Linked DNA regions of Canis lupus familiaris. The protein of the gene in region 2 purifies or fractionates together with the protein of the main gene of each other region. This does not show direct contact. Links are inferred from orthologs where the notes say so. Each region holds a gene or a part of one and is shown on either strand. Other genes may lie near its edges.

Region 1 (4,427 bases), on a different chromosome or scaffold from region 2:
GGAGAGTTCGCTTTCAATATCTGGTGGGCTGGCTTCGTCAGGAGATAAACTCATGATTATAAAACAGCAAACACTGACTTTAAAATAGAAAATTTAAACTGTGAGGAAAAGGGTTCTTTCACTCTGGTGGCATATATCCTATTGCCCAGAGGCATTAGGTTCCTTTTATATCAGGAAACACTTCCACGGCAAGTGAAGGCAATGTTCCAGGTCACCTCCCTGCCTCCCTCCTCTCCTCCTTCCTCTTTCACTGTTTTCAGTGATTTACTGAGCACCTCCTATGTGTCAAGCATTGTCTGGGTGTCAGTGTTACAGCAGTGAACAAAACACAGAAATTCCTGTCCTCACGGGACCTCCATTTTAGTAGGGGAGACAGATCACAAAGGACAGACCCTAGTAAAACAAACAGAAGGGTAGTGGCACGTGCCAGGAAGAAGGAAAAAGCAGGGAAGACAGAAAGTAACTGGGAGCCTCAGGCCTTCATCCTCCCTTTATTCACCCTCATTCCTCACTCGGGGAAAGGGAAAGGGGGAGGGACCCCAGCCTGTCTCAGGGGATTGATGCTGCCTACAGACCTGCCCCCTGATCTCCAGACTTGTAAACCCCATTCCCTGCTCAACATCTCTACGAGGCACCTCAAAATTAATATGCCTGGCACTGGGTCCCTGGTCAAACCAATCTCCTGCACCACAGTGAAGGACAGCAAACTTCTCCCTTGTCAAAACCACCACAGCCTTCCCCGGCCCTTCCCTCCTGCCTGTCCCGTATACAGGAAGCAAATGCTGTGGCTCTACTTTAAAATGTAACCAGAATTCCAGCACTCTCCCTCCACTGCCTTGCTACCAGGCATGTCATGCTCCACCATTATCTTGTTTCTGGGTGACTTGAGCAGCCTCTTGTCTCTACTTCTCTTCTCCAAGAGAGCAACCAAAGGGGCTCTGCTCAAACACAGCTGGCTGTGAAGTGCTCTGTGCAAACCCCCCCATGGCTTCCCACATCCTTCAGAATAAAAGCCACAGTCCTCAAGCATCCTGGTACCTTGGTGTTTCCTTACTTGGTATCCCTCTGCCCTCTCCCCTTGCTCCCTAGCCTCCATGCTGCTCATCCACCAGGCCAGGCAGGCTCTCTTCTTGGGGCCTCTGCACTTCTGGTTTCCTCTGACTCTGACTCTTCCCCCAGAGAGACATAGGGTTCACTCCTCACTGCCCTTGGGTCTCTACTGAAACACCAAGCTCTCCAACCTCTCTGACAGGCCAAATCTCTCCTACAACCAGGACCCTCTATTGTATGGCACATACAATGATTGTATACATCTGTGTGATTATTCTATTAGCATCTGCTGGACTATGAGCCGAGGGGTCTTATTTTCTACTCACTACTGTCGCTAGCACCTAGCACAATGCCTAGCACAGCAACACTCAGTATGGGCTCAGGGCTCAGCAAGGGGAGAGAGTTCTTCACAGGGGATCTACCCTCAGCTGGGCCTTGAAAAATCTGTACTGGCTTCTCTCCATTATCATCAGCCCTAACAGTATTTCTGGAATGAGTGAGTGGACGAATATGCTGTGTCTGCCATGAGTAAGTTTGGGAGTAAATGAGGGAGACAGGATATCCCTATGTGTTATCTTATGAAAAGCTGGGCTCCCTTAGGTCATGAGTGATGTCTGTGCCAGTCCTCTGGCCCATGGGGTCAAAGTAGCCAGCAGAAAAGATAGGCTCAGGCCCCAAAAAAGTACTGCCCCTTTCTTGGTTTTGATTTTGAACAGGTTATATAATCTCTTCCAAGCTCAATTTCCTCACATGTAAAATGACGATAGCACCACCTCAAAAGACCCAATGAGACCCAATCTGCTGCTGAAGCCCCTGCATGAGCCCAGCACACTGCAGGGCTCGCTTGAGCCTGGTCTCCCCACCTCTCCCCACTGACACTGTTCCCAACCATGGAGAGGGCCCCTGGCATCTTTCAGGTGCTCATTCCTACACTGTGTTCTGAATCAGATGGAGAGGCAGTACAGATCCGCATATAAATCCGAGTCTGCAATTCATGAGTTTTTAAGTTTCCCAGCCTCTCAAAGCCTTTCAGAAGGCTCATCAAAAACAGGACCACAAAACCCATCCCAAAGGGCTGCTCTAAGGATGGTGGTGGTGGTGTCTGTAAAGATTCAAGGCAGTGCCTGGCATCTGGGAGATGCACAGTAAATGACAGCCATTGTGGTAACATGGACAAGGGGACTGAGGAAGACACCCGGCCCCTGAGGCCTCAGCATGCTGTCATCCTGGGATTTACGCAAAGCAAAATCTTATGCCTGTTACACCTGAGACACAGCAAAGTAAGCATGTGCAGGCCACACAGGGTGGAACACAGGTTGGTGCTAACAGGATGCTGAGATCACGGGATAGGGCACCATGTGGAGGCAGGGGAGGCAGTGCCCTACCTTTCCTGAGACCAGCAGGCAAAATTCCCTGAGCACAAAGCTCTTACACTGCTCCTGGTTCTGAGTCCCCAGCCCCCACCCTAGTGGTACACAGCAACTCAGGCCCTCTCCCTGGACTCTGCTGTTCTTGGGTGACTGGAGGAATCCTCTTGCTCTGTCCCAACAGTTCCAACTGGGGTAGAAAAAAGGTTTCCCCTTCTGTGTTTCCTTTGCTTTATGAAAGTGCAAACATAAGATGTCTAGGACTGTGTTCCTTTTTCTGCTTTGTATTTTTGCCAATACATCATAAGCAAGAGATGGAAGGCAAGATTTTTATTTCAGTTCATACCTGGACATTCTTCAGTGACAGGTTTTTCTTCAGACTCTTGTGAAGGGGTCTGTGAAACTTTCTCAGAAGACGTGGATTCTCTTGTCTTTGTATGTGGTTCTGGTTCCAACTTAGATCTAAACAAATAATTAGCAATCATATACTTTGCTGACACAAGATTCTTTTCTGACAACAGAGGGAGTCACATGTGACCCCTGCACACGTGTCCTGTGCCCTCTGCCAAAGAGCAGAGTTGCTAACCAGCGGCCATCCCAACACACCTCCAGTGGGGCACTTATTAGAAGGAACCAGTGTCACCACCTGCAGGGAGTAGGGGAAGGGAGGAGAATGCAGCCAGTAGGTGCTGAAGGAAAGAATGCACACACCTGCCCCACATACTGACGCCGCACTTAACAGGTGTGTGACGAAGGCTGACTGTTGAACAAGTCCAGGAAGCTGGTTGTTTCACACCAGTGCAAAGTGTTGCTAAATACACACACACACACAAACACACACACACTCTATGTAGTATATATAAGTAATATCTTAAATAAGTTAACTATGAAAGTACAAGTCTTTAAATAGCCACCAGATGGAAGCAACTTGTCTCAGGAACCAAGGCCTCTGCCCTTGGCATCTGCCTCAGGGGTCCTCCTTTGGCTATACTAGTTTCTACTTTCAGGTCTATGCTCAATCTCACCTATTCAAAGAGGCCTACCCTGACTTTCCGATCTCAAACAGGCTCCCCTACATCACACTGTGCCGTAGCCCTTATCTTCTTCATAGCTATGAAGAGTCACCAGAGTCTCGGATGACTTGCTAGTTCACTTGTTTATTGCCTGCCTTGCTCTACTGGAGGGCACACTTGCAGAGCAGGGTCCTGGGCTATGGGCCATGGTCACTGCACAGCCCTGGGTCCTAGATGAGTGTCTGGCATTCAGTGTTTAATAAATACAGGTTGAATGAATGGATACCTTATAACGGTCAGTAACTAGTAAGAGAAAGAACTTGTTGATTATGAAACAATAAACCTTATTAATAGCTTTCCTGGAATCCATATAGCACTACAAAAATTATGGGCAGACTGCGAAAATGATCTATGATGCATTCCATATTACTAGCCAGGAAGCCTATAAATGAAAAAGAATAATGTAAATACTTATTAGGATGACGCTGTTAATGCCAACTAACATTTACTGTGGGCGTATCATGTATTGGGCATTTTTCTAAGCACACTATATGGATAAACTTATTTAATGCCATACATCCCTATAAAGTAGGTAATGGTATTAAAGACCTTCTTATAGAGGAGGAAACGGAGCTATATGGAAATTAGTATCCTGGGAGGAAACTCCCCCCAGGTTACACAGTCAGTACCTGGCTGGGCTGGCCGTGACTTAGGGAACCTACCTCAGAGGCATGCCCTTAACGGCTGCTCCATGGAAAGTAGATTCTATCCATCGTGTTCCATGAAAAGGGGCTTCTGGTCAAATGACTGAGAAAAGTGGAGTCCAAGCTAGGATGGGTATTTTACTCTACAGCTTTTTAGAGCCTTTCAAGATGCTAATAATATATTTTTAATTTCCAAGATGGATGTCTTTCCCAAATAATCTGACTGCAGAAACAATTTTCATGGGGCTTTTGGGAGAAGACTAATGTATTATGAAAGGCTGTTTAGGAATGTT
Region 2 (5,055 bases):
TGATCAGGCTATGTCCTTGGCAGGGCAGAGTTCCCACAGACCCTCGTGTGTTTGTTGAATGGCTTGGTGAAGGCTCTCTAGTTTCCTGAGAGCTCAGGTTGTGGCTGGACTAAGTCCTGTCTCTGAATTCTCACCTTCAGTCGCAAGCAAGGCCCAGCACTGACGCTCTCTCCTCCAGGCTGACGTCCAGAGGTATCCCCATTCCCCTCCCACCCTCCGGGCTTCACCGCAACCGGACAGGCTGAAGGCACCGTGTCTGGCTCTGACCCTACCAGCCGGGGGCTCCTGTGTCTTCTTGGAACGTGGCCTTTTTCAGTGTGGGGTAGGTACCACGGAGGGACTGAAGGGGGGGTATTGCTGGGTCACTACTCCTCCCAGACTGACCTTTCTCTCCTGCTCATGCGTTCCCCGTGGCTCTCAGGAACCTGCAAAGAGCCTCCGTATTGTTGTCCAGCCCAAAGGGCAGCCCTGGACACGGGTGGAGGGAAGACAGAGGCTAGACAAGCTGGGCCAGCACAGGTCTTTATTTGAGTTTGGGCATGATGCGAATGAAGAGGATCATGCTGATGAAGATGAAGCAGACGATAATAAGCATGGCCCAGAGCAGCCAGTTGACCGACTTCTGTGTGTGCTGCTCCAGCCGCTCCGATTCGGTCTTCAGCTTCTCCAGGTTCTGGTCAGCCATCTTGAGGGAGTGTGACAGGGTCTGTGGGCGAGGTGGGGAGGTCAACGGGACTGTGGCCAAGTGTGGCCTCTCCCTGCCGCCTGGGGGCAAGTCTGCTCCTCTTGGCCCTTGCTAGTACTATGTTCTCTGCTGGGGGGTCCACGTCTGCCTTCTGTCAAACTTCTATCATCTGAGAGCCCTGGCCACGAGGCCCCTCTGCTGGGGAGCCATCTCTGGTGTCCCCGGGCAGAGGCTAGGAAGTTCCCCCGGCCCTCACACCTGGTTGTCCTTCTTAATGACGCTCTGGGCGGCCAGCGTGTTGCTCTTGAGGCTCCTTGCCAGGCCCAGCATCTCCTCCGCCAGCTTCTCCTGGAGGTCCTGATGCCGCTGCAGGACGACGTCTAGCTCGGCTGCTGACTGTTTCTCATCCCCTGATCTGGGCCCTGCCACCCCGCTGACCTCACACAGAGGTGGACGGGTGGGCAGGAGACAGGGTGGAGGAGTGGGAAGAGACCAACACATTCCCAGGGAGCCCAGAGGTTATGGCTCCAGCCCCTGCCCTGCGTAGGGTTCCGTTTCCCCTTCTTCACTTTGGCTTTTTGGAAGAGCATCCCCAGAAGTGGCTTCTGATCGGTGATTTAGATGCTTGCGGGGGCCTTCATGGTTTGGTGCCTCAGTGGTCCCAGGTTCATCCCGCCCCACCCTCCACCCTCCACCCTTCCCATCCCCGTGCTCCCCCCAAGGGCTGAAGACACTCACATTCTCTTCCTCACATCCAGCTTGGGCTCTGGAAGCAAAAAAGGCCAAGCAGGAAGAAGGAGAAGATTGGTTTCCTGTTTCCCAGCTTCCTGATGGTTGCTTGTGATGTGTCTGCTACTCATCATGTCGTTTCCTGTCTTATCTGCTTCCCAGCGAGCTCCTGATCATGCTTCAAAGCTCTAGCTCAAAAGTCCTCTCTTCTAAGCAGTTTTCCTCACTTCTATTTGGGCTCTCCCAGGCCCCAGGCCCCCTCTGTTGGCTTACCCTTGGCCCTGCGGCCTGGGGGTATCCAGCTTTCTTCCCTCTGGGGGCCAGCTCCTCTGTCCTGGCATCCCCATCAGGCACAGCTAGGTGACACCCCTGGGGCTACACTCCCTGGGCTGTGGGAGACCCCAGGGGAGCCAGGCGCAGGATGTGAGGCAGCGTGACAATTAAGCCTCAAGTCCTGTTTTACTCAGGGTGACTCACCTCCAGCAGAATCCTATGGGAAAAAGGGAGAGCCATGAAGTCACCTGCCTTGTCCTGCACCCCAAACTATCCTTTCTGCTCTCAGACTCTGCCCCCACAACCCCCCGCCGGCAAGTCCCATGACCTCAGGATCTCAGTTTCTTCATATTTTGAAGGGTTTAGCTGATCCACATAAAAGGCTCAAAAAGACACTTGCCGTCCTATTTTGCAGATGGAAAAACTTGTCTATTTGTGGCAAGATGAGATAAAGTCATGTAACTGGCAAACTCATCTGATGCTCTGGGCCAACTCTGGGGTGCCAACTAGACAGGCACCATTTTTGCCTCGGACCAAACTCCTATCCATCTAGCAAAGTCCTGGCTCGGCCTTTCTTGATGGCCCAGGGCAGAGGCTGTTGGGCTCCCTAGTGTCCCTATGCCTGCCAGCATTTGTTGTTCTGGCCACACCCAGGCACTAAACTATCCCTGACCAGAGGGACCAGGGACCAGGGACCAGGGACCAGGGACCAGGGAGGAAGGCAGCCCTACCGTGCCTAGCAGCTCATTCCTCATTTCGCTAGTGTATCGTGCCCGTGACTGCAGATGCACCGTCTTCGTGGCAGGCACCCGCTCCCTGGCTGTGGTTGGTACGCGGCCAGGGGCCAGGAACTGGTTGGCTAGTGCCTTCTCTGAGGCAGAGGTCTGCAGAAGGGGGAAGAGGGGTCACCGGAGGGGCAGGTCCACGGCAGGGAGTGTGATGAGGGCTGAGGAAGTAGAGCACCCCTGCTCACCAGCTTCTCTGCCTGCAGCATCCCCTTCAGGAAATCCACCTTGCGGGAATATTCATTGATCACCTCAGAGGCTGGTTTGCTGGAAGGTGAGAAGAGGAAAAAGAAAACCTGTCCACTGTCTCTAGTTCCGGGAAGGATCTCAGCAGGGGCTGGAGCCCAGGGATTCCCTGACAGGAGCTGGCCCTGGCCCTGATTCCCATCCCAGATTTGAAGCCCCTGTAGCCACCTGCACTCACCTTGCTTGGGCTTTCAGGGCCTGCAGCATGTCCTCAAGGGCTCCCACGTACTGGGAAGGGAAAGTGGGGGTGTCAGCCTGGTCCCCCATACCCTTCCACTCCTCCCTCTCCTGCCCAAAGGGAGTGCTGTCAGGGCCAACAAGGGGCGGGGCCAGGATGGGGCGGGGCCTAAAGGGGGAGGAGACACGCGCCGAGGGGGCGGGGCCAGATGAACCCTAGGGAATGGGGCGGGCGCTGCAGGTGGACGTGGCGGACCGACCGGAAGGGGCGTGGCCAGAGCGGTTGTTGGGACGGGGGAGCGGGGCCCGGTGTCCGCTACCGCGGAGGCCACCCCCCGGAAGTCAAGCTCCACTTGACAGTGCAGATTTCCCTCACCTTCTCCAGACGCCACTCTTCCGGGTCCCGCTTCTCCGCTGCCATCGCCTCGCAGCGGCACAGCAACCGCACTAGGTTCAGCTCCAGCCTCGACGCTGCCATCATCTCCCGGCCGTACCCTGCCCCTTCCGCCGGCGCCATCTTGGAGAAGGGCGGAAGTGCCCTCTTTGGGCCTCTTCCGGGCGCGTCCGCCACTCGTTCGCTGTTGCGTCTTGGGGGCGGAACTAATGTGTTTTTTGGGGGCGGGGGGGGACTAATGTGTTGTTTTAGGGAGAGGCGCTGTACTGTCCGTATCTACTCGAGACTAGATGGCGTTTTCCCCTCTCAAGCGTCTTAACCCGTCCGGAGGGGTTAAACGGACCCGGTCCATTCGTCGCTCACGCCGTCTCCAGCTCGGTTCTTCCCACGCCGAGCTCTCCCGTACCCCGGCAGCCCTACCCGGTTCTTGCCTGGGTACGGCCTGGGATGCAGGAATCCGAGGCTTAGGGGCCCATCCAGAGTTTACGGTTATGAGCTTCCGGCCCTGACACCGACTCCATCCCCCCCACCGCAGAGGCCCTGAGGAAGTTTATTTTCTGGGCCCGGTTCCTTCTTTGGGAAAGGTACAGTGTGACAAAGCCTGCCTCAAGGGGGGACATTAGCTCTCGGGGTGAGAGGTGGGACAGTCAGACCCTCATGGAGAGAACCCCACCTGGGTCCTCAGGCAGTCAAGGCCCATCCTGTGACCTCCCTGCACCCCTTGGCCTGCGGAGGGCAGGGTAGGGGTTGGAACGTCAGAGGTACTGGAGCTTGGCTGGCAAGCAGCACTCATCCATCTTCCACCCCTGACGTCACCTGTGTCCTGGTCACACCAGTGGGCTTGGTGTCTTCGCAAAATACTATGTAGGAGACTAAACCCAGGGTGAATGAAATAGGGCACTAGAGGCAGCCTGGGCAGGCTCTGAATCCCAGCCCTGCCCCATCCCAAATGTGTGGCCTCGGACAAGCCTCCCAGCTCTTTCTCGTGTGTCACATGGACTAGGGTTCTTCACTGTCCACCCCCCGCCAGCCCCATGGGCCCCACCTGCCAGCAAGTTCCCACAGCTGCCCATCTTACTGCAGACTGGGAGCTGGTCTGAGAGGGGATGGTGGGGGTGGGGATGGGGTGTGTACCTTCTGGCTCTGGTGGGCCCACTGGGAACTGATCTCTTCATAATGAGATGACCCTTTTAGCTGACATTTAAGTCTTAAGTAGGGGTAGGGTGGGTGCTAAAACATGGCAACAGGAGGCAGTCCCCCCACCCCCCGGCCCCATTTCCAGATTAATAAATAAGCACCTCCAGCAAGCACACCACTCCAGAGTGAGGAGTAATGTGAAATTCCAACAGCAGTGTTTGCTGGGGGCGGGGGGTGTCAAGGCAGGTCCTCCCCGACAAGGGACATAGCCCCTTGCCCTGCATCTGTCTTGGCTGAAGCCACAGGGTGGACCACCCCCACCTGCCAGCCCCTCCTCCCCCAACTGACTCTGAACCAGTCTGAGAGGAACTGCACACAAATACCTTTCAGGCACTTTTTATTTTGCACGGCTTGCGGGGCACCCGGGGCACCCACCTCTCATCCCAGACCTGTGGCCATGTGTCTGGGGAGTGAGCCAAGCCTAAGAGAGGGGAAGCCCAACTCCGGAGAGCCCCAGGCTGTCACTGTTGTCCAGTAGGAATGTACAACCTTGCCCTCCCTGCCTGTGAGTGGTCCTGAGTCGCGGCTCCTGTTTGCCACATGGAGTGGGCAGTGTGCCGAGGGCAGCC
Region 3 (4,427 bases), on a different chromosome or scaffold from region 2:
GGAAACATTTTGACGGGGGTGTGCAGATCTTGTAGTACAACTATAAAAACCAAAAAGAGAAGTAAGAGCAACATATCCCACCCCGGGCAATACCACAGTGTTGAAGAAGTGAGAAGCCACACAAGTCAGTAAGCTTGGGGATGAGGGTGGGGATGGGGACAAAGGTGGGAGAGCATGGTGGCAGGTGCCAGGACAAGGACTCTGGAACTGAAGTCTCTGGGAGAAGTTTCTAACTCCTGATCTGGCTTTACCTAGCGTCTGCATGGCTTCCTCGCTCTGCTGGACCTGCTGGGACATCATTCTGCTGATCCCCATGAGGCTCTCCGTGATGGCACTGGATGTCTGGGCCAGGCTCTCTTTGGTGGTTTTCCTAAAAGTCCAGAGTGGGATAGGCATGTCAACAAAAGCTGGCTATAAGACAACGCCCGTCTTCAAATGCGATCCCATTTTTTTAATCTATCAAAATAGCATATATATTTAAGTATCAATAATCACAGTCAATGCCAGCAAGGGTATGCTGACACCACACTCCTAAAGACTGCTAGTAGAAATGCAAACTGGCAATCTGGAAATAGTATTAGGAGCCTTAGAAACATTCATGCCTTTGGCCCAATAATGTCATCCCTGGGAATCTCTACAAAGGAAATACCCAAAATGTGGACAAGGCCTTATGTCCTAAGGTGTGCCCTTGTGTATTATTTACAATACTGACAAACTAGAAATGCAAACACACACAAACGGGGGATCAGCCAATACAAGGGAATACTAAGTACTCTTGAACCTTTGTTTAAAGAGTTTTCTAAAACAAGCAAGTCTTTGTGCTATAATACTATGTGAAGAAGAGCAGGGCGCTAAGTTTTATATACGGTAGGACTCTGTAAAAAAAAAAAAATGGTGGGAGGACACAATATATATCAAAATGTGTACAACACAATCACAGTATAGTTCATTTTGTCATCGACACCTTTATTTTACCAATTTATTACAAATAAGCCAGTATTTCTTTCATACTTTAAAAAATATTACCTATATAATAAAATTAATTACCAGTTTTACACTGAAAACAAGAAGGGCTTCCCTACACAGGTTTTGCACCTTGCCAATTGCTATCTGTTCTATCATTAGGGCCCAGAAAGACAAAAAGACAGATACCTTTGCCTTAAGAGGTCTCCTCCCTGGAGAAGTTCTGCTTTCTCTAGATTGTCGATAGCAATTTTGCAAGTGAGATTAGCCTTCCTCCATGAGGTCTGATTGCTGGAATCAGAAGGGTCTTGCATGAGTTTCTGTCAGATCAAAGAACAGAAGTTCTTCCTTCTGGCAAGGGAGTGATGGGAAAGGCCTCCCAGAGTGGCCTACAGAGTCATCCATCTCTGCCTCCCACCATTTCCTCCTCTTGGTTGCCCCGGCAACTGCTCCAGCTTAGGCTACACCTCTGGTCTCACCCTGCCCAGCCGCCTGTAGCTGTCCCTTTCCCTCCAGGGCAGCCAGAGGGAGCAGTCTGGCCACAGTACTTACTTCTGTGCTTACAGCCGGGCAAGGGCTTCAGACTTCAAACTCACCTTGGGCACTTGAGGCCCTGTTCTGTCCAGTTACCACTAACATTTTACCATTTTACCATGTTCTACCTTGTGTACTAGTTGGTTCCATTTCTTGAGGACCATATCTCACTCATTTTTGGATCACTAATACCTAGAACAACAGTCTCTGGCCCATTAGCCAATCAATAGATATTATGAGAAGTAGAAAAATCATAGGAAGGCAGTTTTCCTCAATATTTAAGTTTTTATTTAAAAAAATTTTATTTATTTATTTATTTATTTATTTATTTATTTATTTATTTATTTATTTATTTATTTATTTAGGAGAGAGAGAGCAAGAGCATGGGGAGGGGCACAGGGAGAGAGAGAAAAAATCTCAAGCAGGCTCCATGCTCAGCACAGAGCCTAACACAGGGCTGGATCTCGGGACCCTGAGCTCATGACCTGAGCCAAAATCAAGGGTTGGATGTTCAGCCTACTGAGCCATCCAGGTGCCCCTAAGTTTTCATTTAAATTCCAGTTAGTGGGACTCCTGAGTGGCTCAGCGGTTAAAGCATCTGCCTTTGGGTCAGGGCGTGATCCTGGAGTGCTGGGACCGAGTCCCACATCAGGCTCCTGCGTGGAGCCTGCTTCTCCCTCTGCCTATGTCTCTGCCTCTCTCTCTCTCTCTCTCTGTCTCTCTCATGAATAAATAAATTAAAATCTAAAAAAAAAAACAAAAAACAAATTCCAGTTAGTTAACATACAGTGAGTGTAATATTACTTTCAGGTGTACAATATAGTAACTTAACACTTTGGTTTTGCTCCATATTTCTTTAAGATTTGCTGTTCTTTACATACTCAGACCAATCATGAGCGAGATAAACACACTGTATTAGCAGTTTGATGTGATTTATTTACATTCTTTACCTGATCTCCCTCATGAGAGATAACTCAAATTTGATGAACAGCTCCCTGGGGTTAGCAGTGCAGCCTTTGTCAATGAACTATAAAAATGTTAATTGGGCCCCTAGGAGAATCAAACTCAAGCACTAGAACTCTTAGGCAGCTGGTTCACATCAATTGTGCTAACCCCTGAGATGTTTACCAAAGTCAAACGTGAACTGATACGGTATTTTTCTAAGAGTACCTCTGTGCTTAAAATGTAAAACGAGCTCTCTGTCACCAGAACAGCATCTGCTATGCCATTTCACACCTGATATTTTAAAAGAATCAATTACATATTTTAATTGTTAGCAAGGAAGTTCTGCTGGGCCCTGTGACACAGAGATGAATGAGCCATAGTGGCTGCCCTCAAGGGGCTCACATTTACTGGGGAGAAAGACAAACAAATATTTGCTGAATGGTGTGATAAGCACGAGAATCCAGGCAGGCGCAACTACTGTTTTCACACACAACTGCCAAAGTATTCATCTACTGCTTTCTCTCTCCCCTGTAACCCTACATCATGAATGGCCATTCTCAACTCCTAGCCATGCTAACTAAGCCCATTTTATCTGGTGTAACTTACTCTACTTTATACAAGGGGTCCTCTTTACTCAGTGTTTGTAATGTGAGTATCCTTGGTGGCTGAGGGAAGCAAACGCCATCATGACACAAAGTACTCCGACTGAGCCAAGCACTTTAACACTGGTGACCATGCACACATCCCTCCCTACTTATACTAGCCTCTACCATGCCCACATGTTTGTCAGTCTCCTCCTAAGGGCTGGGGGTCATAAACACAGTAGCTGCCTGCCAAGGATGATGCTGGAGAATTACTCACATTGAAGGCAAAACGAGAGACATACAGATCCAACAGAGTTAGAGCAAATTAATAAGGAGAAAGAGCAACACCTAGGAGGATGATGACTAACAGGGGCTTCAAAAGAGAATGACCTGGCTACCAGACGATGGGGAAAGTTGATGGAGCCGTTAAATTTTTTTTTTTTTGAGCCTTAAATATTTTTGTCACAACAACACTCTTTATGATTATGATACAAGTCACATGTGAAGGGACAGGTGCTGTTTCATGCCATCAGATAATTTTGTTGGAAAAGCCCCCCCCAATATCCAGAAATAGTGCATACTTCAATTATATAACCAAAGGTTAGCCCACTGCTACAATGATAACCACCGCTTTGTTTAACATAGCATAATCTTATTTACATTTTTTGTTTCATTTTTTAAGATAAAGTCCCACTCAAAGCTTTCTAAATTTTGGTCCATCTTAAGTAGGAACTTTTTCTAGTAGCAATTTCCTTACAGAAAAAGATGTTGTATTACAAAAGCAATCATTTTTTGGTTTTGTCCTAAAAATATAAAATATAGTATAATGGTAAATACGCTTTTGTAAACTATATACAATTTGACCTACCAACAACCCCTGCTTGTCCCTGCTTTGAGAACTACTGATCTAGAGAGGACATTCAGTTTGTGTAGAAATGACACAATTAAATCATTAAGCCAGGTTTGTTAGGCAAACCTTTATACAAGCCGCCCAGGGAGCAGGTGACCCAGCGCAGGCCCCACCTACCTGAGCATCTGCTTTTTGTGATTCTCCACTTCCTGAAGCAAAACTTGCTTCTCTGACTCTTTGTCTTGCTCTTTAGCTGACTGCTCAAGCTCCTTTGGGGGAAAAGAGATCTATATTAAAATGATTTTAAAAGCAAAAAAAAAAAAAAAAAAAAAAAGCCAATATAAAAACCAAACTACTCCTCTTTCTAGGCAGGTTATACAATAGCACTTGAAAACCCTCCTAACAGAGAACACTCAGGAATGTCAGGTAAATATAACAAACATCCATAAGTATATAGCTGATGTGTAAGAAAGTAAGGATAATCTCCAGGGCCCCAAAGTGAGAAGTGAACTGAGAGCCAAAGCAGTCAGCCTGTGACTGATGCTCAACTG
Region 4 (4,427 bases), on a different chromosome or scaffold from region 2:
TATATAGGATAATAAAACGTGTTATTATGAACACTGAGAACATAATGTGTTCTTAGTTTCATAAGTAAAAAACTTGCAACTTCTTTACAAAATAACAGATCTAAAATCTAAATATTTTAGTTTTTTTACTATTTCATATCATTATAACTTGGACTTGAAAAGATCAATACCTTTTCTATTGTGACTCAGGCCTGATTTCACTAACAATCACTTTTCACTGACTATTTTTATATTAGGTACAGGAACGATTTGCAGTAATGAGCCACTTTCTTACCCAATCATGACTCTGTTTTACAAAGAATGTCTCTATCTACTGACAGATCCAAGAGGCTCCAGAACAGAAATGGAATATGTGAAAGAAAGCAGCCCTCCATCAGTCAATGATTCATTTCAGCTAATAAAATTAAAAAATGTTAGTGTATCTTCCATCTTTCCATACTACTTGATCTTTCCTATTTTTTCTAATTTCTCTATTTACTCTTTAATCTTTAAAGCAAATTTTTGAATGCTCAATTTATATTGAATATTTTACTCCAATATAGTGGAAGAGCAAATGGCTTCATTTTAAAGTTATGATTGTCAAAAAAAAATAAAGTTATGATTGTCAATAAACATTTACTAAATGAAGTTAAATATAAAATGACCTGGGGGATCAAATAAGTATAAAAACTACTTGGAGAAACAAGGCAGAAAGAAAATATACATTTTAGTAAAAAAGAAACAGAGCTGGACTAGCATGTTGGAGTAAATCATTTTTCTCCACCCCATAACACTATACAATGATTACTTCTTATTTTTGGTGTAATCTCAATGTTGTAAAAAAGATTTGCCTTTGGTACTTAATATATGGCCCATAGCAATCATATACTTCATATTAACAAAAAGACTTGAGGTACTTACGGAAAACATTGATACAATGTTATTTGTCATCAATGGATATCTGTATGAACTTACCACTGCTACCATTTCCGCTGCTGTTCCTCTTGAACATCTGATTATAGGAACAGCACCTATTTTAACATTAGATGTTAGCAATGATTTTTAGCTTTCAATAACGGAAAAGAATGAAAAGAGCTTAATTTAGAAGCAAACTTCTAAAGGTAGTACTATTCTTGATTTTACAAATTAACAATGAAGGAATATAGTCTTGTTAAAAAAATAACTTAAAAGATAAAACATATCTTCCATTAATATGAAAGGTTCTAAAAGGTGGCCTCAGCTCATTACTGAATCAGCTCATTAGACCTCTTAATTTCTCTTTGTTTATTACTCCAAGTTTTATCAAAGGCTGAAATCCTAAAATGATAGAAAAAAATCCAATTGCATTGAATATCTCAGAAAACAAACTGAGAATACTGTAATCTTAACATGCTGAAACTGCTGCATTTTAGATTCTAAACAAAACGTTCAGTCAACTGCAAAAAATTGTAGAATATTAGCAAGTTTTATAAAACTGCTTTCTTCCAATGGCAAGTTATACATGCTTGTCATAAAAACTCTAAATAATGTTAGAAATGTATAAAGTTAACCCTTTGGTTCCAGCACCCTAAAATAAAATAATCCCCCTTGAGAATTAGATATGGATATTTTCAGATTATTTTTTACATGTAGTTTTAAATAAATGTATTTGTGAAGAGTACAAAAAATAGGATAAATTTTGTTCTTAAATTTGCCTTTTTCACTTAATCTCTGGTTGACATCCTTCTATGTCAGATGGGCAGTAATTTCAATTACTCTTGAAAAAATCACTTTCTGATATTCTATAAGAAAGCTTGCTTTAACACTTCCATGGTCTTTTATACTTATCTTTTTCAATCTACCTTTACCTTGAAAATATAACTATCGTTAAGAAAAAATAACCTTAATGTTCACAAAAACCCTTGCATTCAGTGAAATCTTGGAGAATATGTAGGATGGCAAAATAGAAAGGTTAATTATGTCAGTTTAATGACTAAAAATTGCATATACATGTGCTTTGTTTAAAACAACAGCAATAACAACCCCACTTGAAGGTACTAAAAATATTTGAAAGTGCAGAAAGTGCAGGAGGGTAAAATTTTGAAAGAAAAGATATATTTAAAAATTAAGATACATTTTTAACTAGCTTTTCTCTTGAGAGTACTTTCTAGTTTGCAAGGCACAGAAAAGAAAGAGCTCAAGCAGAAAACAGAAGAATCCAAGCCTGGCATTCAGGGCAGGATTTTTTAAAGGAGAAAATCACAAGGGAGGCCCAAACCTTGCATGCAAATTCTCTTCAAACTTCTGACTGTGGGGCAGCCCAAGTGGCTCAGCAGTTTAGCGCCACCTTGGGCCCAGGGCATGATCCTGGAGACCCAGGATTGAGTCCTACGTTGGCCTTCCTGCATGAAGCCTGCTTCTCCCTCTGCCTTTGTCTCTGCCTCTCTCTTTCTCTCTCTCTGTGTCTCTCATGAATGAATAAATTTAAAAAAAAATCTTAAAAAAAAAAAAAAAACTTCTGACTGTATCCTAAACTATTCATGGTATCTCCCTTCTCAATTTTCTCATTTGTGAAATAAAGAGAAACTTTAAAAATTTAGTGTAAGGATCACTTTAAATGGGGTTTTCAGTGTCTGCAAAATTAAAATTGCAATTAGAAGGTTTCTAAAGAGATCTACTAGTAAGAAACCATAAAAATCACACAATAGATACTGAACACAAAGTAGCTCTAAGTAAATTTAGATGTACCAAAAAAAGGTTTAAAATTCTGAGTACAGTGGATTAATAGTATACTAAATTTAGTGTTTTCTGGAACCTTGGGAGTGTGCCTTAACAGTTATATTTATCTCTATACTTAAAAGTGTATTTGAAATTCTTCCTAATAGAATATTAAACATTTTGAGAAATAACCAGAAAGATTTGAGGACCTACCCAGTGTAACAAAAAAGCAGAAGAGGCTGTCAACAATAGTGTCCATAACAGTTTCCATCTCTGTGTCTGTGATATCTGGTCTGTTAATGGCTAAAATAACATAAAGAGAAAAAACTTACCAAACTCTACGTCTTGATAACATTTGTAATACTCAAAAAGTAAAATTTTTTATGTTACACCTTTAAGTGAATAAATATCCATTAAAAATTATACCTCAAAAAAACTGCACAGCATTTCAGTATCTGTAGTACTGAACAGTATCAAAATCATAGTAGTGCTAAGAAAACAAATCTGCCATAAAAAGTATACAAAATTTTTGCCAGAGCAAGTAAAAAATATCATATTCCATACTTTCATTCACAAACACTAGATGGCCTCAAGAAACTACTGAACTTCTTACCCAAGTACTGCCAGAAAGGACAATGCCAATCAATTATTATAAGACCAGTGTCCCATATCATTTTTCTTGTATTGTAGTTAAGTTATATGAATTTCTTTTCTGATTACTATACTGTACCTAAGTGAGTTCCAAACTTCAGTGGGTATAAGAATCACTTTAGAAATATGAAAGAGAAAGTTTGTCCAGAATAAAAATTCAAGATTCTTAGCCTTTTCCTCTCAGGGATTCAATTCAATAGATCTGGATAATTCTAAGAAATCTGCAATTCTGATTAGCACCACAGATGACTCTTAGAGCTACATTAACAAAAACAAAAACACTGCTGTGAAGACTATACTTGACAAAGATATTGCTTTACTCCTCTCTCAGCTCTTACAATACTTATGCTTAGTATTTGACGAGTAGATGCTCAATAAACATTTGTTAAAAGATCAGACTAAAATATCTATATTTTTAATTTCCCAACACTCTGAATTTGGAAACAAACAAACAAAATTCAATATAACTTGTGATTATTATGAGAGGAAAACAGATTCCAGCCGTATATATCAAAGTGTTTAAAGAAAGTATGGGCCATCCAGAGAGCATAAAATAATAAGGAATTCAACCAGGCAATACAGAATCTGGATGAGGGAGGGTGCTGCTACTTGATGTTGCAGATTCAAATCAGAAGACAGAAATGGCTAAAAGATACAATGTGAATCATGTAAATTCAAGGGACACCAAACAAGGGAAATACTCAGCTCATTTTGTTAATCAATGGTACAGGTAAAATCCAAATGGAAGCCTTTAGCCCTTAGGTCCCTCCTACACCCTGGTCTCACACCTCTAAATCAGAACTAACCCAAAGGGTCAAAAAATTGTCCATCAATAACCTCAACTCACTTATGTTAACAACTTGGTTTGAGATAGTAGCCTGACTTTGGGAAGATAAAATCTGCTTCCTTTAAAAGGATAAATAAATTTCCAATCCATGAAAAGTAGGTGATATAAATAAAACCCACAATAATAACATGTTTGGGCTAATCTGCTTAAGATTATCAGTTAAAATACTTGTGATATTTGAGAGGATTTGGCACATAATTACATAATGGTTAAGAGCACTGTGTCTGAAGTGGGTTTAGTAATCCGGTTCTAC
Region 5 (3,878 bases), on a different chromosome or scaffold from region 2:
CTAGTGGGGATCCCTGGGTGGCTCAGCAGTTCCGTGCCTGCCTTTGGCCTAGGGCGCAGTCCTGGAGTCCCGGGATCGAGTCCCATGTCAGGCTCCCGGCACGGAGCCTGCTTCTCCCTCTGCCTGTGTCTCTGCCTCTCTCTCTCTATGTCTATCATAAATAAATAAAAATAAAAATTAAAAAAAAAAGAACCCTCCCTAGTTGGTGATTACGGTAGGTAAGGAGAACCTAAGACTCCAGGTGTCCTCTGCCCCAAATCCTGGCTGAGTCTCCAGGCCCAGAGACAGGGAAAGGGTGGGGAGAGGGTGCTGAGCACCCAGCACTCACTTTCATCAGCGTGCACTCCCGGGAACCAGAGAATGCGGGGAACAGCTCCTCATACTTCTGCACAGCGAGCTGGACATCACGAGGGTGGAAAAGAAGAAGGAAGGAAGGAAGGGGACAAGCTAATGAAGACGGGCCACTGGAGCCACTGGCCTGACAGCCAAGGGGATCTGAGACACCTGGCCCCAGGCAGTGCTCTGCGCCCCTCTCCCTCCCCCTCCCCCAGTGTCACCTGGCTCTGTGCCTGGAGGGTACTTCCCTGGGGCTGTACTTGGCCAAACCTGGCTGCAGAGACAGCTTGTGTGGAGGAAGTGTGGGGAGGGGCTCCTAGGCCAGTGCCCAGGGCAGGGCACAAATGACAGCTGCCTCCTACGAATACATCCTACAGGGCAGGGCTGGTGCTGGGTACTTCTTACATTTAACCATCATGTGGACCCAGGGAAGGTGGAATGAGTGACCCCCATTCTGAAAGATTTGCTCAGGGCACAGGGTATATGGGGGCAGGGATGCGAACCAGCCTGAGGCCGAGCCTGAGCGAGCTCTTACACGCAGCCAGTGGGAGCAGGGGTGGTGGTGGGGCTCAGACACTCCATGTGGCGGAGGGCACGGTGGCTGGAGACCCCAGGAAATGTGGAACCCTGGAAGACTCCAGCTCCCTGCCCCCAGCAGTTCCCCACCCCCTCGCCCACCACTCACCCCTGTCTTGCCAAACAGCCCTCAAAAGGGGTGGTGTGGACACGCAAACTATGGTTCAAATCATGACACTGGGAGTCAGAAAGATCTGGAATCCAGCCATGTGACCTTGAATAAGGGTCCCTGTGTCTTAGCCTCAGTGTCATCATCTGTACAACAGGTGACAGTGGTGTTGACCTCGAGGGATGCAGCAAAAACTCAAAGTGTGCTCTCCCTCACTGGCACCAAGTAAGTGAGAAGCTGGATAAACTCAAAAGCTACAGACACTGGGCAGGTGACACCTGGGACAGGAGCACATCGGCGAGAACAAGCATTTCCTGCCCACAGCTGACAGGCAGGTGCTGGACATGAGGGAGGGCTCACCCCTATTAAGGGATCTAGTGATAAACATGGTGCACCACGGTGGTCACTGGGAGGTGGGGGACGCTCTGGGTGGTCCGACTGGGCCCCAGCTCACCTTGGCATTGAGCATGTCAATGCAGAAGTGACAGAGGGCCGCCTTGAAGAAGTAGTCCTTGGCGCTGTACTTGAGGAGGGGGCTGTCCATGGCATTGGTCCCCACCTGTGGAGGTGCGGTGGTGGCACTATAAGCTTGGGCAGGCAGCCAGAGAGCCAGGGTCACTGAGAGGCACCGGGGGGCCGGCTGGGAGCCTCATCTGTGTCCCGGATGAAGCCCCATCAACCCGGGACCCGAAGGGCAGGGAGGCCAAGGGCCAGCCCCAGGAAGTCAGCCGGTGGTGTGTGGGTAGCCAAAGACCAGGGTATGGCAGGGGGCGAGTGCTGTCACAGGGCCAAAGCCCGGTGTCGGTGGGCTCCCCCCACCCCCTGAGATGGTGGGGAGGAGGCGGCCCCGCTGTCAGGCCCTACAGGAGGCTGGCACGTCGGTGGGCAGAGGGGCGGCAGGCTGCGGGAACATGAGAGGTGGCACCCGCCCCCTACTCCTCCGGGGCCAGCTGCCTGCCTTTCTCTTGGCCAAGCTGAACCCACCAGGACCGCCCAGCCTTCCCCACACAGCCCAGGGGAGCCTGCGCCCCCACGTGATGCTCCCTCCCTGTCACTCCCATGGTGTGTGAAGGACGAGCTTTCTGACCCCTCCCTGTGGGCTCCTCAGCTCCCTCTGGCTACCCCAGGCCTTAAGGATTCTCTTCCCACTCCCTCTGGGCCCCCAGGCCCCCCCAGGAAGCTTTCTGTGAGAAGCATACAGGGAGAGGGTGGGGACTCCCTGTGGGGTTGTGGGTGGTGAACTGTTTAGCCAGTGAGGACAAGGGGAGTGCCAGGATGGTGATGGAGGGGAGGGGAGAGGTGGCCAGGGGGAGGGAGGGAGCACTGTGCAGATGATGGGACATCAGGAAAGGGCAAATGGGGTGCAGGGCCCTCCCCCAGAGCCCTGGCTGTCCCCACCTGCTCATAAATGTCAATGGCCTTCTGATACTGCTCCAGCTGTGCGGCATAGCCAGCCACCTTCAGCAGGCACTTATTGGCTGAGCTGTAAGGGTGGGCGGAGGAGACAGAGGTCAGTGGTGGCTGGCCTGGGGGCTAAGGGGTGGGGTGGGGTGGGTATAGGGAAGGGGGAAGGGTGCCCACAGCCGGTACCTGTTGGACTCCTCTCCTTTGTAGTAGTCTGCAGACTGCTCATAGTGGGCGATGGCCTGGGGAGACACGGGGAGAGGCAGGGCGTGAGGAGGTGGCAATGTGACCTTGATCCACCATAGGGCCGGCCCTGCCTGGGCCACAGCAGGAGCCCTCTACCCAAGTTCTGTCGGTGCGCCACACCCCCTTTCTGGTACTCAGACACCAGAGGATGCCTCAGGTGGAGAGAGCAGACAGACAAGCCCCAGTCTGAGGAGACAGGCTGCTGCAGTCCTCCCCCACTGTCAGCCAGGCAGGGCCACCGACTGCCACTCACCTTCTCGATGTCCACCAGCTCCGTCTCATAGATCTCAGCAATGGAGATGTGGTGCTTGGCCGCGATCGTGAACCGGCCCTGGGTGGGACACAGGAAGGGGTCCTTTTTGATGGAGTAATGTTCCCAGCGTCCCACTTGCCCCTCCTTGTTCTTCTGGGCCCCCAAAACCAGTGGGTTCCTGCACCTCAGTCACACAAATGAGGCATGTACAAGAGGGTACCGGGAGACTGAGGGGCACAGGCCTCCAATGGGAGGCTTCACTGAGCCCTGATGGGGTGACCTTGTCACACCCCTCCACATTCAGCCTCCGGGTTTCTCCTGTCCACAGGGATACAGGTTGACGAGGCAATGCCAGAGGTAATGGGGCCCAGGTACCAGGCAGAGGGCCTGGCCTGGGGACAGATGGCCCAGAGAGGGGGAAAGACCAGCCTAGAATCACCTGTAAACACTCTGGAGAAACCAGGCTGACAGCCCAGGCATCCCTACTGCGGAGGGGACAGCCTTCCTAAGCCTCCCCTTGCCCCCAATGTGGCCATGGAGGCCGCCCCACTGACAGGCCAACCCCCAGCTTCCCCCATTGACACGATGGCTCTCCCCAAGGAAGCCTCTAGCTCTCTAGCTTCCAGAGGGGCTGAGCCCCCCAGCCTCCACCCGGTGGGCGTCCAGGCGCCAGGCTGCCCACTCGGCACGCAGGGCTGCTCCACAGCCCCTGCCCCTGCCGAGGGACATCAGGAAAGGGCAAAGCTCTGAGCTCAGCAAGGCCTAGTTCTGGGTCTCAGCAACTTCTGCTTGTGGGCATGTGTCCCTGGGCAAGTCACATCACTCATCTGGGCCCCCCTTTTCTGTCACATGGAGGACGGCCCCCACCCCGCAGGGCTATCGAAGGGGAGGATTAAACCACTCAGCTGACAATGTCGGGTTCAACAGATGGTAGTGGCTATCACTGTGCTCACT

Evidence for each region.
Region 1: the proteins of USE1 (region 2) and STX18 purify together in Homo sapiens (co-immunoprecipitation; 4 studies listed by BioGRID and IntAct, counting the BioPlex papers as one, with this or other methods). This does not show direct contact. The link is inferred for Canis lupus familiaris from reciprocal best matches to the Homo sapiens genes USE1 and STX18.
Region 3: the proteins of USE1 (region 2) and BNIP1 purify together in Homo sapiens (co-immunoprecipitation; 4 studies listed by BioGRID and IntAct, counting the BioPlex papers as one, with this or other methods). This does not show direct contact. The link is inferred for Canis lupus familiaris from reciprocal best matches to the Homo sapiens genes USE1 and BNIP1.
Region 4: the proteins of USE1 (region 2) and SCFD1 purify together in Homo sapiens (affinity purification with mass spectrometry; 3 studies listed by BioGRID and IntAct, counting the BioPlex papers as one, with this or other methods). This does not show direct contact. The link is inferred for Canis lupus familiaris from reciprocal best matches to the Homo sapiens genes USE1 and SCFD1.
Region 5: the proteins of USE1 (region 2) and NAPA purify together in Homo sapiens (affinity purification with mass spectrometry; 3 studies listed by BioGRID and IntAct, counting the BioPlex papers as one, with this or other methods). This does not show direct contact. The link is inferred for Canis lupus familiaris from reciprocal best matches to the Homo sapiens genes USE1 and NAPA.

What each region holds. Positions count from the first base shown.
Region 1 is NC_049224.1:70,427,207-70,431,633, forward strand, and holds part of STX18 (syntaxin-18), read right to left. Parts: intron 2,880-4,427; coding exon 2,764-2,879; intron 1-2,763. UniProt on the Homo sapiens protein: Syntaxin that may be involved in targeting and fusion of Golgi-derived retrograde transport vesicles with the ER.
Region 2 is NC_049241.1:45,915,902-45,920,956, forward strand, and holds USE1 (vesicle transport protein USE1), read right to left. Parts: upstream 3,444-5,055; 5' UTR 3,413-3,443; coding exon 3,272-3,412; intron 2,947-3,271; coding exon 2,897-2,946; intron 2,740-2,896; coding exon 2,661-2,739; intron 2,572-2,660; coding exon 2,419-2,571; intron 2,158-2,418; exon of another isoform or gene 1,905-2,157; coding exon 1,892-1,904; exon of another isoform or gene 1,452-1,891; coding exon 1,424-1,451; exon of another isoform or gene 1,119-1,423; coding exon 944-1,118; exon of another isoform or gene 707-943; coding exon 524-706; 3' UTR 507-523; downstream 1-506.
Region 3 is NC_049225.1:40,179,766-40,184,192, forward strand, and holds part of BNIP1 (vesicle transport protein SEC20), read right to left. Parts: intron 4,146-4,427; coding exon 4,054-4,145; intron 1,255-4,053; coding exon 1,153-1,254; intron 371-1,152; coding exon 252-370; intron 41-251; coding exon of another isoform or gene 1-40. UniProt on the Homo sapiens protein: As part of a SNARE complex may be involved in endoplasmic reticulum membranes fusion and be required for the maintenance of endoplasmic reticulum organization. Also plays a role in apoptosis.
Region 4 is NC_049229.1:10,128,187-10,132,613, reverse strand, and holds part of SCFD1 (sec1 family domain-containing protein 1), read right to left. Parts: intron 2,980-4,427; coding exon 2,890-2,979; intron 1,011-2,889; coding exon 955-1,010; intron 1-954. UniProt on the Homo sapiens protein: Plays a role in SNARE-pin assembly and Golgi-to-ER retrograde transport via its interaction with COG4. Involved in vesicular transport between the endoplasmic reticulum and the Golgi.
Region 5 is NC_049222.1:109,233,885-109,237,762, reverse strand, and holds part of NAPA (alpha-soluble NSF attachment protein), read right to left. Parts: intron 3,003-3,878; coding exon 2,925-3,002; intron 2,668-2,924; coding exon 2,612-2,667; intron 2,505-2,611; coding exon 2,420-2,504; intron 1,581-2,419; coding exon 1,476-1,580; intron 398-1,475; coding exon 329-397; intron 1-328. UniProt on the Homo sapiens protein: Required for vesicular transport between the endoplasmic reticulum and the Golgi apparatus. Together with GNA12 promotes CDH5 localization to plasma membrane.